Saccharomyces cerevisiae S288C: one gene and its partners. The gene in region 1 interacts genetically with each later gene. Each region holds a gene or a part of one and is shown on either strand. Other genes may lie near its edges.

What was found. A genetic interaction does not mean that the proteins touch.
Region 2: mutations in SSO2 (region 1) and PTK1 together harm fitness more than expected from each alone (negative genetic interaction), as found in Saccharomyces cerevisiae (2 studies listed by BioGRID).
Region 3: mutations in SSO2 (region 1) and TOR2 together harm fitness more than expected from each alone (negative genetic interaction), as found in Saccharomyces cerevisiae (2 studies listed by BioGRID).

Annotation. Positions count from the first base shown.
Region 1 is NC_001145.3:625,281-629,327, reverse strand, and holds SSO2 (syntaxin), read left to right. Parts: upstream 1-1,519; coding exon 1,520-2,407; downstream 2,408-4,047. Other genes in the region: RTP1 (Rtp1p), read right to left, coding at 1-303; ADD37 (Add37p), read right to left, coding at 543-1,139; MIN3 (Min3p), read right to left, coding at 3,431-3,517. UniProt on the Saccharomyces cerevisiae protein: Required for vesicle fusion with the plasma membrane.
Region 2 is NC_001143.9:67,163-72,027, reverse strand, and holds PTK1 (putative serine/threonine protein kinase PTK1), read left to right. Parts: upstream 1-1,807; coding exon 1,808-3,796; downstream 3,797-4,865. Other genes in the region: PEX1 (AAA family ATPase peroxin 1), read left to right, coding at 1-1,294; MNN4 (Mnn4p), read left to right, coding at 4,562-4,865. UniProt on the Saccharomyces cerevisiae protein: Essential determinant for low-affinity spermidine transport.
Region 3 is NC_001143.9:56,791-65,140, forward strand, and holds the start of TOR2 (phosphatidylinositol kinase-related protein kinase TOR2), read right to left. Parts: upstream 6,570-8,350; coding exon 1-6,569. Other genes in the region: MNN4 (Mnn4p), read right to left, coding at 7,140-8,350. UniProt on the Saccharomyces cerevisiae protein: Phosphatidylinositol 3-kinase homolog, component of both TORC1 and TORC2. TORC1 regulates multiple cellular processes to control cell growth in response to environmental signals. Nutrient limitation and environmental stress signals cause inactivation of TORC1.

The DNA.
Region 1 (4,047 bases):
GATAGGCAATAAGTCACTTTTACTTTCGATGAGCCTCCGTTGCTGTTCTAGTACGTGAATGTGCAAATTCTGGAATTTCTGTAAAAGTACTGCAACAAACTCATTGTTATTTGAGCACTTCAACGCCTGATAAATGGAAGAGGATGATGATGAGCCTGAATCAAGAACATATTCGTTTATGGGAGTAATTACATTGTCATCCAGATCTTCGAAGAAAACATCTAGGGCTGTCTTTTTGGTGAGCTTCGGTCTTGTATTCAATATATCGTGTATGTTGATCTTTTGCTCTTTATCCTCATTCATTTTCCAACCTTTTGTTTTTCTTGATCTGATATGACAAGAAGAAACATGAGGCGGTGATGAGCCCTTATTGCTATATGCTGTTCGACGCGATGAGATGATTACATGTTTTTTATTAAATTTCTCAAGCAGACTGCGGGTAACCTTGATTTTTAATTATTCAATAGGAATTCTTTTTTTTTTTAGAAAATAAAATGTTCTGCGTAGTGTACTTCTATTTATAAATATAATAATATTATTGATTAATTAGGCATCGCATTTTCAAAAATTTTTAAGAATGCGGGACACCAATTTGAGATTGTTGTGTCAGTAACCATCCAATGTTTAATGGTTTTCACGGCCATATTTTTGTCTTTTTCATTGAAAATCTGGGATAGTACTGTTTTGGTGTGCTCGTTTTGTAAAATCTTGGTAATGTTTGAATCTAATTTTTTCTTGTAAAATTCCAACTCCTTCGAAGAGAGCTTCGAGCCACACACACAGAGGTCGTTGATCTTAGCCACTAATTCTTCTTTACTGCATAATATCGGCTGGAGCTGTCTATCGCCTTGGTCTTTTACGAGCACACCTTCACAGGCAGATTCTTGTTGAGCAGCAGTTACAGATGGCCTCCTCAAAACTGGTGGCGGCGTAGTAGCTGTTTTAGTGTTCCCATAAAGATCTAACACTTCTGTGGCAAGTCTGCCGCTAACACATCTTTTCGATTTCGTTCTTTGTTTAGATTTGGATCTAGGTCCGCTATTAGGGTCGATAGAAAACAAAACTGTCGGACAGTCGTTATAACCAGGCACTTCAGCTTCTAGACAATTCTGAAAACTTTTGGTTGGTTTAATAGCCATCGTACGTAATAGTATGTGCGGAAATAGATTGACGAAGAACCGACAGATGCGCGTCTACTGAAGCTCTTATGAGTAGCCTGTGTGAATAAAGAAGCCAGCTAAAAGTAAATATGTGGCATCTTTATGTCTTACGAGCCGGGTACCAAGCGGCAGCAAAGGGTCCCCCCTAAACGACGTGCTTATCACCCGGCCGTTGTTTACGAAATGGCCTTTTTTGACGTTTTTAGTTTCAATGGATGGATGAAAAAAGCAAGTAAAATGACAAATAAATGCTGTTGGCAGGTTAAATCGTTTAATATACCCATAAGAGAGCTGGAATAGTGTGGAATTGTAATACTTTACATTTGAAAACTGCCCATACACGCACAAATATTGCAGCAATGAGCAACGCTAATCCTTATGAGAATAACAATCCGTACGCTGAAAACTATGAAATGCAAGAGGACTTGAACAATGCTCCTACTGGTCACTCAGATGGTAGCGACGATTTCGTAGCTTTTATGAACAAGATCAACTCAATAAATGCTAACTTGTCCAGGTACGAAAACATTATCAACCAAATTGATGCGCAACACAAAGACCTACTTACTCAAGTGAGTGAGGAACAGGAGATGGAATTGAGACGTTCTTTGGACGATTACATCTCTCAGGCCACAGATTTGCAGTATCAATTGAAAGCGGATATCAAAGATGCCCAGAGAGACGGATTGCACGACTCTAATAAACAGGCACAAGCTGAAAATTGCAGACAGAAATTCTTAAAATTAATTCAAGACTACAGAATTATCGATTCTAACTACAAAGAAGAAAGCAAAGAGCAGGCGAAGAGACAGTACACAATTATCCAACCGGAAGCCACTGACGAAGAAGTGGAAGCCGCCATCAACGATGTCAATGGCCAGCAGATCTTTTCCCAAGCGTTGCTAAACGCCAATAGACGTGGTGAGGCCAAGACAGCATTGGCCGAAGTACAGGCTAGACATCAAGAGTTGTTGAAGTTGGAAAAAACAATGGCTGAACTTACCCAATTGTTCAATGACATGGAAGAGTTGGTCATCGAACAACAAGAAAATGTGGATGTCATTGACAAAAACGTCGAAGACGCTCAGCAAGATGTAGAGCAAGGTGTGGGTCACACCAACAAGGCCGTTAAGAGTGCCAGAAAAGCAAGAAAAAACAAAATAAGATGTTTGATCATCTGCTTTATTATCTTTGCTATTGTTGTTGTCGTTGTGGTTGTTCCATCCGTTGTGGAAACAAGAAAGTAATAGAGCACATGCGCCTCCCTCCCGCCAGCCCCCCAATTCCTATTATGTGTAATCAAACAATTTCTATTAAAACCGAAAACCTAAAAATTGTAACGTCTTTTCTCTTTCCTACTATACCCTCCTCATACCTGCCTTTTTAACAATTAGTATTATAATTTTTTTTTTTCACAAAAAGACAATACCGACTATCTAATAAATAATTTTAATACGTATGTAATTTCGTTAAGAACAAGAATTTTTAAGTAAAAAATCTTACTTTTAAGAAAAACTGTCGCCCTTAATATTAGTCCCAATTTTGTAACGAAAAATAAAATACAAATCGGGGTGGAAAAAGGGAAATTTTACAACATTATTATTCCAAAAACTAGTTTTCAAAAAGTAAATCGTGGGGGTATGAACAACAATTGTTGTAGTCGCAACTACGGTAATTGGTCCTAAAAAATTATTCTCCGGGAAAAAAAGAAGAAACAAAGAGATCCCGAAACATAAGTCCCGTGATTCTTTTTGCCCCCCGCTTTCTTTCGCCAAGAGAAGAGCAATTTATTGAAAGGCTTTTCTTGATGTTTTTGGGTTGTGAAAGCGTTAATAGCGCCAAGTTAGAATAGTAAATATCACAACTACAATATCTACACTTCTCACTTGCGCATTAACCTGCACACGTACTAGACTTTATCTGTCTTGATTGTTACTTCTAGACCAATCAACATTGAAGCGCTCGGCAAATGCTTGACAAGAAAAAAAACTAATTTTCCCTTCGCCTTTTATAGTGCCCATCGGATAGGATATTCCATCTTTGTCTTGCGCCCACTTCGTTGTCGTTACCCGCACGTTGTGTTTTTTGAGGGCTTGAGCAAATTCTTACAGTTAAGGTACAATAGTTGTCTCGAAGAGCAGTACATCAACGGCCTGACGACCTACAGTAGCACTTTCCTTTAAGTGTATATAAACTTTCCTTTTCGGTAAGGGATGCAGGAGAAAGGGCGAGTTTTGTTTATATGCGATCCTTTATGGTAACCTTTGCGGTTAATTCAGCATTATGGTTGCTGATGCACACTTAACGAGGGGAAGAAATATTATGTTACATGCATGAAACGCACTCGGTTTTCTCATGGTCTTTCTTTTTTCGGGATTTCTTTTAATAATATCTTTAAAGTATTACTGGTAGTCGGTCTTTCCCCACACAAAAAAAATTAAAAAAAAAAAAAAAAAAAAGAAACTTTCCGGCGCTCCTTCAGGAGTCTCGTAACTGATGCTTTTTCTCTTCCTAATATTAAGATAAAAAAAAAATTAAACACCGGTAGCAACTTCTCGAGCCATAGGGTCCTGCACACCCTGCCATGTTACCGCACGGACCATTAAGTTACGTGGATGCCGGACTCTCAAGCCATGAAAAGTTTATCTTTATTTAAGTAGAGTTTTTCCTTCTTCTCAAATTTCTGAGAATTTTTATCTTCGATCATTCCCTCTTTTTTTCTTTTTTTCTTTTTTTCTTTTTTTCTTTTTTTTTTCCCTTCTCTTACTTTCTTATTTTTTTTTTTCATTCCTCAGCGGATCCCTTCAATCGTTTATAACATTATTTTCCTTCTCTTTTCTTTCATTGTATCTTCTTGATTTCAACTATTGTTTGTGTGTATATGAAC
Region 2 (4,865 bases), on another chromosome or scaffold:
GTATTTTTTCTCGAAAAACCAGATCATGAAACTAAATCGAGATTTGCAATTCAGTGATTTGTCGTTGGAGACAGAAGGATTTTCGCCACTAGATTTGGAAATATTCACAGAAAAGATTTTCTACGACTTGCAGTTGGAAAGAGATTGTGATAATGTTGTAACAAGGGAACTTTTTTCGAAGTCGCTTAGTGCGTTTACACCATCTGCGTTGCGTGGAGTAAAGCTAACAAAAGAAACGAACATCAAATGGGGGGATATTGGTGCTTTAGCAAATGCCAAAGATGTCCTTCTAGAAACCTTAGAGTGGCCCACAAAATATGAGCCTATTTTCGTTAATTGTCCCCTAAGATTGAGATCAGGAATCTTGCTTTACGGTTATCCTGGTTGTGGTAAAACGCTTCTGGCGAGCGCCGTGGCACAACAATGTGGGTTAAACTTTATCTCCGTTAAGGGACCAGAGATTTTAAACAAGTTTATAGGTGCCAGCGAACAAAACATAAGAGAATTGTTTGAAAGGGCACAGTCCGTCAAACCCTGTATTCTATTTTTTGACGAGTTCGATTCTATTGCGCCAAAGAGAGGGCATGACTCCACTGGTGTCACAGACCGTGTAGTCAATCAATTATTGACCCAAATGGATGGTGCCGAGGGCCTTGATGGTGTATATATACTAGCAGCTACAAGTAGACCTGATTTGATTGATAGCGCATTGTTAAGACCGGGAAGATTAGACAAAAGTGTGATCTGTAATATACCGACTGAATCAGAGAGGTTAGATATCTTGCAAGCTATCGTCAATTCAAAAGACAAGGATACGGGACAAAAAAAATTTGCATTGGAGAAAAATGCAGACTTGAAGTTGATCGCTGAAAAGACAGCTGGTTTTTCGGGTGCTGATTTACAGGGGCTCTGCTACAATGCTTATTTGAAATCTGTACATAGGTGGCTGTCTGCTGCAGACCAATCGGAAGTGGTACCCGGCAATGATAATATAGAATACTTCAGTATCAATGAGCACGGGCGTAGAGAAGAAAATAGACTACGGCTAAAGACTCTATTGCAGCAAGATGTGGTGCACGAGACAAAGACAAGCACTTCAGCTGCTTCTGAGCTGACAGCTGTGGTCACAATAAACGATTTATTGGAAGCCTGTCAAGAGACAAAACCTAGTATTTCAACAAGTGAGTTGGTCAAATTAAGGGGGATTTACGATAGGTTCCAGAAGGATAGGAACGGTGAGATGCCCAATGGTGAGAATTCCATCGACATTGGTAGCCGACTCTCCCTTATGTGAAAAGGAAGAAGAAAAGAACAAAGCGCGTTTCCCTTTAAAGGGCAAAAAATGCGGCGCACGTTGCTTATTACGTGACATGACCCTATTGTATTGTGCGAGCACGCAGGACGGGAAAAATATTGGTGAAATTACATAACGCATTTTTTTTCCCTTGTGGTGAAAAGGAAAAACCCGAGAAATATGCCAGTAACAGTGGAGACCGGTCAAGATGTATTGAACGAAATCCGAAGTTGCATATATAACATAAATGCCTGCTACCTTTTGATACTTAATTCTTCTTAGCACCTATACGCTTTTTTTTTCATTTTTCCTTATCTTTTCTTTTTCTCGCAGAAGTCTATACAAAGAAGAAATATATATATATCTATTTCTTTTTTTTTTCAACCGTATACCACCGGCAACAAACCTCCATGTATTCATAGGCCCTGCATTACATCAAGAAATATTAGCATAAACGTATAGACCATTTTAACGCCACAGGCAAGCATACGCATTAAATCGCACCACCAACCAATGACAGTCTCACACAATCATTCTACGAAGATATCCCAACAACCAATCTCCTCGGTATCAGCATTTAAGTTCTTCGGAAAGAAGCTGTTAAGTTCAAGCCATGGGAACAAGTTGAAGAAAAAGGCGTCTCTACCTCCAGACTTCCACTCTACAAGTACTAATGACAGCGAATCCTCCAGCCCAAAACTGCCGAATTCGTTGAAAACCTCTCGCCGTGCAAACTCTTTCGCTCACACAACCAACAGCAAGAGATCTTTATCTTCCGCCTCAACCAAGATCCTACCTCCGGCCGGCTCCAGCACGTCCATCTCAAGAGGAAACAGACATTCGTCCACTTCGCGTAATCTCTCAAACTCCAAGTTCAGTAGCGAACGATTAGTGTACAATCCATACGGCGTCTCAACCCCAAGCACGTCACTCTCGTCCGTCTCTACCTCCATGAAGAAAGACCCTGATCTGGGCTTCTACCTTCACGATGGGGATTCCAAAATCCGCATGCTGCCGATCCCAATTGTGGACCCAAACGAGTATCTGCCCGACGAGATGAAGGAGGCAAGCATCCAGTTGAGCGATAACTTCGTCTTTGATGATGAGAATAAGACCATCGGATGGGGCGGTTCGTGCGAAGTGCGCAAGATCCGCTCCAAGTACCGCAAGAAGGACGTATTTGCTCTAAAGAAGCTCAATATGATCTATAATGAAACGCCCGAGAAATTCTACAAGCGCTGCTCAAAGGAGTTTATCATCGCAAAGCAGCTAAGTCATCATGTTCACATCACAAATACTTTCCTTCTAGTCAAGGTGCCCACCACCGTCTACACCACTCGCGGGTGGGGGTTCGTCATGGAGCTAGGTCTACGAGATTTGTTCGCGATGATACAAAAATCGGGCTGGCGCAGCGTGGCCCTAGCAGAAAAGTTTTGTATATTCAAACAGGTGGCGTGTGGTGTCAAGTTTTGCCACGATCAGGGCATCGCCCACCGTGATTTGAAACCGGAAAATGTACTGCTATCCCCGGACGGCGTGTGCAAGCTGACAGATTTTGGTATCTCAGACTGGTACCACACGGATCCACACGACCTGTCCAGCCCTGTCAAGAAGTGCGCAGGGATGATCGGCTCGCCGCCGTATGCTCCCCCGGAGGTCATGTTCTACGACTCCAAGAAGCACTACGATACGGAATTGCAACAGCCGTATGACCCACGCGCTCTAGACTGTTATGGCCTGGGTATTATCCTCATGACCCTCGTCAACAACGTCATTCCATTTTTGGAATCCTGCAGCTTCGACACTGGTTTCCGCGATTACTGTGACGCTTATGAAAACTTTATCCGTCTTCACGATCGCGCATTCCGCAATCGCGGCAATTACCGCCCGGGGCCGGGAATGGAGTATCACTTGGCTAGAAATTTCAAGAACGGACATGCATCTCGCGTGGCATGGCGGCTCGCTGACCCAGAAGCCGCCACCCGCTACACCATCGACGACCTCTTCGAAGACCCATGGTTCCAAGGAATTGAGACTTGTGTTGATGCCAACGACAAATATGTGTGTAAGAAACCTATTATCAAAACCACTACGTACGAGAATCCGCGGGGTTTCCATATCGCTACAGATGTTGCTGCAACCACACCCACCTCAAACCCATTCCTTAAGAACCGAGTCCCCATCAGGTCAATGGTAGATATAGCCGCCCATCCTTCCCCAACGGCCACGGTTTTAGCGTCGTCGCCTCCGCCGCCTCCTCCGGCGACTCATGTGCCAGCCGAGGCCTTATTTACACTTAGGGAAACCCCGCCGCCCCAGCTAGCAACCCTCACGCTTAGCGAAGAACCTCCCGCAACTCCCGCACCTTCCGCACCTTCCGCACCTTCCGCTCGCGTCCGTGGCCACTCCCCGCACAGGGTAGTGCATCACCATCTGAACATTGTCAACAGCTTGGTCCATAGTTCTAGCGCGGCGTCTTCTCAAGTTCCGGCTTCGACCTAGCCAGAATGTGCAGCAGAGTAAATAATATTCACTTCCCTGTTCCTAAAGCGTACAATATACAACTCCAACTTCATATCAACTACCAGAAACAGTAACATACGTAATAGTTATTTTCTATATTTTTATTTTTTTTTTGCCACTGACCAGTCTTCGCGGCGGTGTGAGTTTCCGTCTGTACGCAGCATTTAGCAGAGATTTGCCAATGCCAAGAAACTCCGCTAAACTAACATCGCGATGCAATGGGCTTGGTATTCCGTGGAAGAAAATGAAAACCGGCGCAAAGAATCCTCCGAGAAAATTTGATGCGGTGCACGGATTTCAGCACGGGTTTCAGCACGGATTTTATTTCTTTGCACCCCGCAAATTTCTGGGCGATGATAAACATACCGCATCTAAAACCGTATACAGACTACGGCACAGAAGCCAAGACTAACAAAAAAAAAAAAAAAAAAAAAAAAGAAAAAAGAAAAATGTCACGTGTTATTCCTTGTGCCCTCTGACCTACGTAGTTACTTGCGTGGCTTCAAATTTGATATCAGCTCTCGAGACGTCCTGATCTCTATACCTTATTGCTTGCTTTAGGTTGAGGCAATAAAGAAATAATTACATCTTTGGTTCTTTCCCCCTTTTTATATATCTGCAACAATATTAAACAATTAAATTAAAGAAGCACGTTTCCGTTTTTTATCATATACCATTCCCCTAACCGCCGAACTCACCGCATCACAACGTCACTATTCCTTCACACAAATAAACTAATTAGTTATGCTTCAGCGAATATCATCTAAACTTCACAGGCGGTTCTTATCTGGCCTGCTGCGTGTCAAGCACTACCCATTAAGGCGCATTCTCCTTCCACTGATTCTACTGCAGATCATCATTATAACGTTTATCTGGTCAAATTCACCGCAGCGTAACGGACTTGGGCGGGACGCTGATTACCTTCTACCAAATTACAACGAACTTGACAGTGATGATGATTCCTGGTATAGCATCCTGACTTCGTCTTTCAAAAACGATCGCAAGATCCAGTTCGCTAAGACATTATACGAAAATTTAAAATTCGGCA
Region 3 (8,350 bases), on another chromosome or scaffold:
AATACATGGAACGTGTCACTATTCGGTACCCAACCCAGTAACCCAGACTTCGGAGATAATGGGATTGCTGGATATTGCTGGATATCTAGATGCCTTCTAAAGCACTCAGCGTCATTTTGCAAAAGCGTGTTAACTAGTCCGAATAATTGCATGACCAAGCTATCCTGTCTAATGTCTTCATGTCCTTTCAACACATACTTATAATCTTTACCATCACTACCCTTGATACAAAACTTTCTCGGTCTTTGTTTGGATGAGATTACTGAAAATACTGGCTCGAATTTAGATATTTTAACAATTGGTTTTCCACCACTTGCACGGGTCCCGGGGACAGCCAATTCCAAATCATGCGCAGATAGTAGTTTTGGCGACACATGTTGTAGTTCAAGAGTTTGTAATTGTGGCAACTGTTTACCAATTTTCCTGAAAACATTATAGTAAATGTCCCACGCTTGGTTTAAATTACTAACATCTTTAGATTTTTTGTAATTCATCAGCCATTCGTAAGCGTCATTCAAGTCCCTACCAAAAGAATTTTGGAACGATATTTCCCTCAAAGTTTCCGGTCCTCTCTTCAGCATTTCGTACAGAGGCTCTAAAGCAGCAAACATTTTTTCGGTATTATGTTCTCCAAAAAACTGCCTACTGGCGTCATCCAGACCCTCATACCATTGCTCATGCCAAAGCACCGCCATACGTATCAATTCGTGGCTGACAAGTTCAGCCTGGTCGACCAAAACTGGACTATGTATTCTCATCTTTTCTATGATGGACAAAGCTGCTTTCTGTCGTGAGAGAGATTCGGATTTAATCGCAACCATTAAGGGGTACACTAATGCCTGCGGATGAGCCTTACCTAGATCAGATAATAGGGAGAGTAATGACCTACTAACAATTTGATTGGGTTGATGAATTCTAGAAATTAACTGTGGCAACACTTCTAACCATGTGCCTATTTGGATTAGGTTGAAACCCTCGTGCATAGCTTGGGTTGCTTCTGGAATACCACCAAAAGTAAACCATAAAGTTAATAACCTTAATGCATCTTGAAGAGAGCTTGATTCTGATAAAGAAATGGAATGAAAAAAACCCTTAATTGCTGGAATTACGTGCCTGTGTATTAAATTAGAAGAGTAATGAACTTCCTTAGCATCAAATGTATTGACGCCGATCATGCCATTATCAAACTCATTAATATCAGTTACCGAGGAAGCATCACTTCCTTCCTGTTTCTTTTTAGAGACAGATGTTAGCATAGAAATGACTTCAAAATTGGCCAGTGCCCAGTTATGCCACGCTTTGTACCATGTGTTGTCAAAATGTGTAGCGAGCAAATAGGAGCCTAGGATCGAATCTGGATTGCTCAATCTCCATTTAGGCTGTAAGCAAACTCTCCATTCTCCTTGCTTCAAGAAACAACGAGCTAAAAGCTTAGTATAATCTTCAACGTGACGAGGGACTCTTTTGCTTTGTTGAGGAACGCTTTGAGCTATCATATTATTTGGATCCAAACCTAAATCATGAGCCATTCTAGATGTGAAATTAATTAATTGCTTCAAAGCCTCATCTTGCAACCCCGTAGCCCACAAGTACTTCAGTTGTGCATAAACAACTGGAGGGGATGCCTTAGCAGTATTAGGATGATCTGGGTCATCTGTTTCTTCAAGCAATGTATTTAAGACTTTTTTAGCTAGCGCCATCCTACCCGATTTTCTGCATAAGTTGGCAAACTTAATCCTCACTTGAGCATCCTCCTTTGGCTTTATCACCAATGATCTGACACGCAGAATTCTTTGCCACACATCAATATTTTTTTGACAGCCCAGTAATCTGGTATTCCAAGTTTCTCTCATAGTTAGACGTTTATCTGAATTTTGTGGCAACTTCTTATATTTGATGATTTCCTCCAACTCTGCTATAATCTGCGCTCTAACAACAACATTATATGCTCTATTGTAGCTTTCATTAACAAGAGCTGACAATTCAGTAACTAGAAGATCCCTTGCATTAAAGATGTGAACTTCCGCCTTCTTAAAATTATTCCTATGCAAACATAAAATTGCATCATAGAATTCTTTATCTGGAGACTGCGATTTCATGACGCTAGTATACTGGGCTATTTCATCCCATTGCTCCAAACCCCAGGCAGCGCCGGCAGCCAAAGGCGCCATTGCCTTCTTCACTTCGGGTTTTGCCGTGCCCCACTTTTCAGATGCCAATTTAGAAAGCTCTTCCCACTCTCCAAGGGCATATAACGATCTTAATTTTCCCATCATCACTTCAACCGAATCTTCTCCTGCTGCCTCCTTCTCATTATATGCTGCAAGAGCATCCTCCCAACGTTGAAGTTTTTCATACCAAGTTTCCTTCAGCTGCAATTCATTGTGTTGTTGCGCATGCTTCAAAATACCAATAGCAGAATCAGTTTGGTGAAGTTGATTATTAATGCTAATCAATGCCTCGATTGTTGAATTTTTCGGCTCTTCTAAGAATTCTACCTCTTTGTAATGTAGTGCCTTCGCAAAAGCATGACATTTTTGGGCATACTTACCTAATGTATGGATTGGGATAGGCAATGGTTTGTCATCGTGCTCCATAAATTCCACTAAATTTAACAACATTTGATAAATCTCGGGTGGGTTTTCAGAGGATGATAAAGCCTTGCATAATGCTTGAATCAAATCCTCTTGGTATGACGTTTGAAGCTCAACCCAGCAACTTGAGAATGAAGCATTAAACAATTCTCTCGCCAACGGATAATAAACGCTGACTAAACTCGAACAGGATCGTAGACAAGCTGAAGGTGATTCCTTTAGAAGCTGAATAGATAGCCTTCTTATCCATTCTTGCCAATCTTCTTTGGTCTTCTGTTGAGAACAATACCATGCATTCTTTAGGATATTTTGGTTTACCGGTAATTTCGTTACTTGCATTTCGTCTTCATAATTTTTCCTTTCAGGTACTTCGTTCTCCTTGTCAAATATGATATTTGTTGGCAAGCATTCATTGTTCAGTAATTTATTAACCAGTTGATCGTACACTGAATGCTGAATCCTATTCCTCAATAACGCCTTGTTAATCACTGGCACAAAGACCACAAAGTCGGTACCTAGTTGTAAAAGGAGCAAACTTAGCGTATTCATGGTTGCTTTTGTTAGTTCTCTATCCCCATTATTCAAAATTCTTACCAACGCCTGAACAATTCTTGATGACATTTCAGAGAGGTTGATATTCTTTGCTAATCTACCCAAAGTTATAATGGAGATTTTCTTTAGACTTCCAGCAGAATACTCAGTCATTCTAACAACGATAGGCATAATCAAATGGGAATAGTCTTCTAGATTCGGCCCAAAAGTAACCAAAGATTTTAATATACGAATCGGAACGATCCTTTTATTAGACTGGTCGTTCTCAAGAATATCAAGGAAAAAGGTTAGAGTCTCGGGAACAAATCTTTTAAACTCACCTTCCAGAGCCTTAGATATCGATTCTATGACAGAAATAATTGTGATTTGTAGTTTAATGATCGGGAAAAACTCCCTGATCACACCATAAATTTTCTCGACATGGGGCCTAATATGTTGCTTGACAATTGAGATGAGAGATCCCAGTTGCTGAAAATAAAAGTCAAGTTGGGACGGCGGGCATGAACGCATGACTAAAATGATACCTGGAATAATTTGATCCAAAAAGGAGACACATCGTAAACCAAGGTTTTGAAAAATATGCATAATAGCTTGAATAGCAGCCGTGTGATGGATTGACAACGATGGATCATTCAATATCTTCATCAGATTGTGGATAACTACAGTGGGGTAATATTCATCGTTGGATGGAGATACCCCTTGCATTAGCAATGCGATGTCGATTGAAGGAGCATTTTGCTCTACTGAACTCTTTGAGTTTGATGTGACTTCTATTTCTCTGTGCTTATATGGATCAAGAGCGCCTAATATACCAATCAAACGAACAGTTCCACGCCTGATATGAGGGTTGTTTTCAGTCTTAAGAATATTTATCAAAATGCCAAGTAACTCTGGGTAGTCTAGTAAAGGGCCAACAACATAACCAGAGGAAGCAGCCAGCTGTCCTAATGTTGTTAAGGCGGCATCTCTTTTAAAAGAGTTTGATTGGTCCTGAAATGTGTTAATGATCAATGGCATCAATTCCTTTAAGTAACGCGTCATTTCTTTTCCTCCAACAACAGATAGTTCACCCAAAACCTTTAAAGCGGTGGATGCTACGGCAGATGAAGCATCCTGGCATTTAGGAAGAATGACGTCTAGAATAGGATCAATATAAGGTTTCGCTACTTCATCGCTGGAATTTATCAGCGTACATAATAGAGTTGCACTTTCCTCCTTTTTTTTTGGCATATTTGAGAACTTCAATTGCGTTAATAGTTCCAGTAAAGTTTTCCTCAAAGAAGGAACTACATAAGCGGGGTTGACAGAACTCAATCTGCCTATTATTTTGATAGCTTCCAATTGAATACCAAAAATCTCATCGTTCAGCGCCATGAAAAGTAGGCGTAAATTGTCTGGTTGGGCCAATTGAGGATCAAAATTTGACCCCAAATGCTGAAGAATTTCCAATCTAATTTCTGCAACCGGATCAGTTATTGCGATCATTAATAGCTTACTTAGCACTTCAGAAACCGAGTGTAAAGCATGAACTGATGTTTGTTTACATATATCGTCTTTGATAAATAAATCACACGACGTTAATGCTGCCAATTTTCTGACAGACGAATCCTCATGCTCAATGTAAGAAATGGTTATAAGCCTAACAAACTCCGTCAAGGAATATTGATGATGAATTAGTTGCAGCATTTTAAAACACTGAATCAAAATTTGGGCATCTGTAATATCGTCATTAGATTCACCAGTTTTTTTCATGAAACTTTGGTTTCTTGATTTACGAGCCTTTTCAATGGAAAATTGATTATTAAAATCGTATTGGTTTGATTGAATAAATTTTTCACCAGATAAGGATATCGACAGTAAATTTAGTATCCTCGAATTAACGGTAGATTCCAAAGAGGGTATTTTCTCGTTAAGGATCATTAAAGTCTCCTGCATATGGTCGGACATTGGACAGTTTAACATCAAATTAAGAAGATCTTTGTTCAAGTGCTTAGCAAAAGCTGGGCCCAAAGCACAAGCTAATTTACCAATGCAATAAAATAAATCCTTCTCGAATTGTTTTCTAACTTTGAATTTCGTTCTTAAGCCTTCCCTAATATTATCCAGAATAAGTGTCATATAGGGTGAAATGCTCGAACCAACTTCAAATGCAATATCACCTATAGAAACTAATATAAAAGGTTTATCCGAATTATTTGCAGCATTCATATCGATGTTCTTCAAATATCTTAAATAATGAACCATTATCCTATCGAGATATTTCTTTGTGAAAATGGCAGGGTCAAAAGCAGCTAAAAGAGGTAAAATAGCATAAACTTCTCTCCTTATAACATCAAATTTATATTCCTTGTACTTCATAGTAGATTTGTAAATATCATCATATTTATCCCTGAGATAAGGTGCTTTCAAGCTGAGTAATTCTCGAAATACCAACAGAGTAGCATGCACTGAATCATTCGTATTGAGACTTAAGCCATGTGTACAACCTTGAAATAATCTTTGAAACCACTGTTTTCCCAAAGCAGGGTCTCTATCCTGAATAATAGTAAGACATTTACCCAATGCCACTGCGGCATCTAATCGTATAATTAACTTTGCATCCCTTAATGGCACCCAAATATTGTCTAAGATAGAGTTAACGTAAGGGTATAAAAGATAGGGTGAATTGTCTGCTAATGCCTTTATGATTAATAGCGCAGCATGTCTCCTGTATTCCAACTTAGAGCTCGATGAGTTATTATCTGCTGTCAGAGTAAGCCAATCAATGCAAGTTCTGACCTCAAATTCGACGAAATCTGATGTTAATGTACCACCTGGCACGGTCAATCTACCTAAGGTGTTAGCCGCTAATCTCATAACTTCAATGTCACTGGATGGAATTAAAACACGTAAATAGTTCGCCAGTCTTGAAGTTTGGTTTGGCAGCTCCTCTGTACTCAGGTAGAATGAGATCAGAGTATCAACAGCAAGAATACCACCTATCTTCTCACTTGAAGTAAACCCGTGAATAAGTTCAAATATCTTATTGTTTAAACTGTTGCTAAACCTTTGAAATTGCTCAGCAGATACTTCCCTTGCTAATGAGGTCAAAGTAGTGCTTAATTCATTAGCGCCAGAGGCTCGTTCTTGTGGCACATCGCTTTTAAGTTTATCAAAAATCAAATTTAAAGTAGAAAATGTTGTATCTAGTTCTGAATCTACAAAGGATATTTTACCAATATGACCAGCAGAACCAGTGATCACTCTACCAGAGTCATTGGGCCCATTGTGATTGGAATCTGTGTTTGAAGTAGTTGACATCTCATCATCGTGGGAGTGCGATTTGTGTGTAAGTTTCTTTCTTGTTCTGTGTTTGCCTTCGGCCCTTTGTCGTAAAGACAATAAGTTAGGTGGCGTGGTGTATTTGTTAATGTATTTATTCATTTTTCATATGGGGAAAGTAAAGATCAGAAATCTCTTTGAGAAAGATAACTATTTGATCTTAATGACTATGCTCTTTATGCACCCGGTATATTTTCCCTTTCTACTGCTCCTAATCTACCTGTAAATAAATACAAGTAAAGCTCAGTTAAGGAAGTGATTGGTGTCACGATGATAAAAATTGGTCTTTCCTACTGTCATTACATTTCTTCCAATTTTAATTGCTGCCATATATGTCAGTCTCTATTCAAACATATTCAGTGCTTAAAAAGGAATATCCGGGTAAATATTCTGACATCGCCCAAGAAATATACGATATAACTTAAAGAAAAGAGTTGTAGTAAGCTAATAGCATTAAGATTAAATGTATGTTTGATTAATTGCAATATCATGATGTTATAGAGTAACGTGGTATAATTACCACGATTCCGTCGAATTGTTTGCCACTTATCACTGGCGCCAAAATGCAGCAGTATGTAAAAAATGACGGTAATAAATATATAATACAAATGCATAGAGGAAAGGCTATAGAAATGAAGAGATTCATGAATTTTCAGTCAGGTTCTCCGACTTTTAATTGCTGTGCCCCTCCTCCTGCTTCTTTTTTTCCTCTTCTTCGTTCTTCTTCTTTTCTTCCTCTTCCTGCTTCTTCTTTTCTTCATCTTCATTCTTCTTGTTTTTCTCTTCCTGCTTCTTTTTTTCCTCTTCTTCGTTCTTCTTCTTTTCTTCATCTTCATTCTTCTTATTTTCTTCATCTTCATTCTTCATCTTTTCTCCTTCTTCCTGCTTCTTCTTCTCTTCTTCTTCCTTCTTCTTTTTCTCCTCTTCCTCCTGCTTCTTCTTTTCTTCTTCTTCCTTCTTTTTCTTCTCTTCTTCTTCCTTCTTTTTCTTCTCTTCCTCTTCCTTCTTTTTCTTTTCTTCTTCTTCCTTCTTCTTCTTTTCCTCTTCTTCCTTCTTCTTCTTCTCCTCTTCCTCCTTCTTCTTCTTCTCCCTCCGCTTTCTTTCTTCAAGTAACTTGGCATAAGCATAGTCCTCGTATACAATAATAGGGTCCTTATCAAACATTTGAATACCCTTTCTGTTAACGTCGGATAAAGTTGGCGCAAAAAGGTCTAAACCATATGAATTTAAATCCAAAAAGGAGTTGCTACTAAAGTTTAAATTTGATTTAAAATCCACAGGATTTACTTCAACAGTATTAGCAGGAGTATAATCTTCTGTGTTATCATCTAGAGTTGTTCCAGTTTCATCAAAAGTAATGTTGAAAAGTGAAAAATTCCTGTATTTCAAACTTTCGGACAGATCAATAATTTTTCCGACATATTCTTCATGAACAATCTTGGTAACTTGATCTAATGTAGTCTGGTTCATAGATTTTGATAAATCCTTCCACATAGCTTTTTCATAACCAAAAAGAAATGGGTCCTTTGCAGGGGAGCTTAACTTAGGAGCAACATTAATGCGCAATTGATGTAATAATTTCTTTTTTTCAATAAATGTCAGGTTTTGGCAGTATTGAATTTCCAATTCCTTTTGCCTATATGCAGTGACATTGAAGGAATTGTACAAGTTAGTAAATACCTCGATAAAGCCAGCTTTTGGAATATTTTTATAAATTAAGCGAACATCATCCATGGATAGGTTTTTGAAAGAGTATTCAGAGACTTTGTTGGAATCAAAAAGTTTCGACTCAAATTTCGTAGACGATATTTCTTTCAAGAGGTTCGGATTCCATGAATTAATACTGGGGATGTTTGGATACCATGAATTAATATTACTGCATT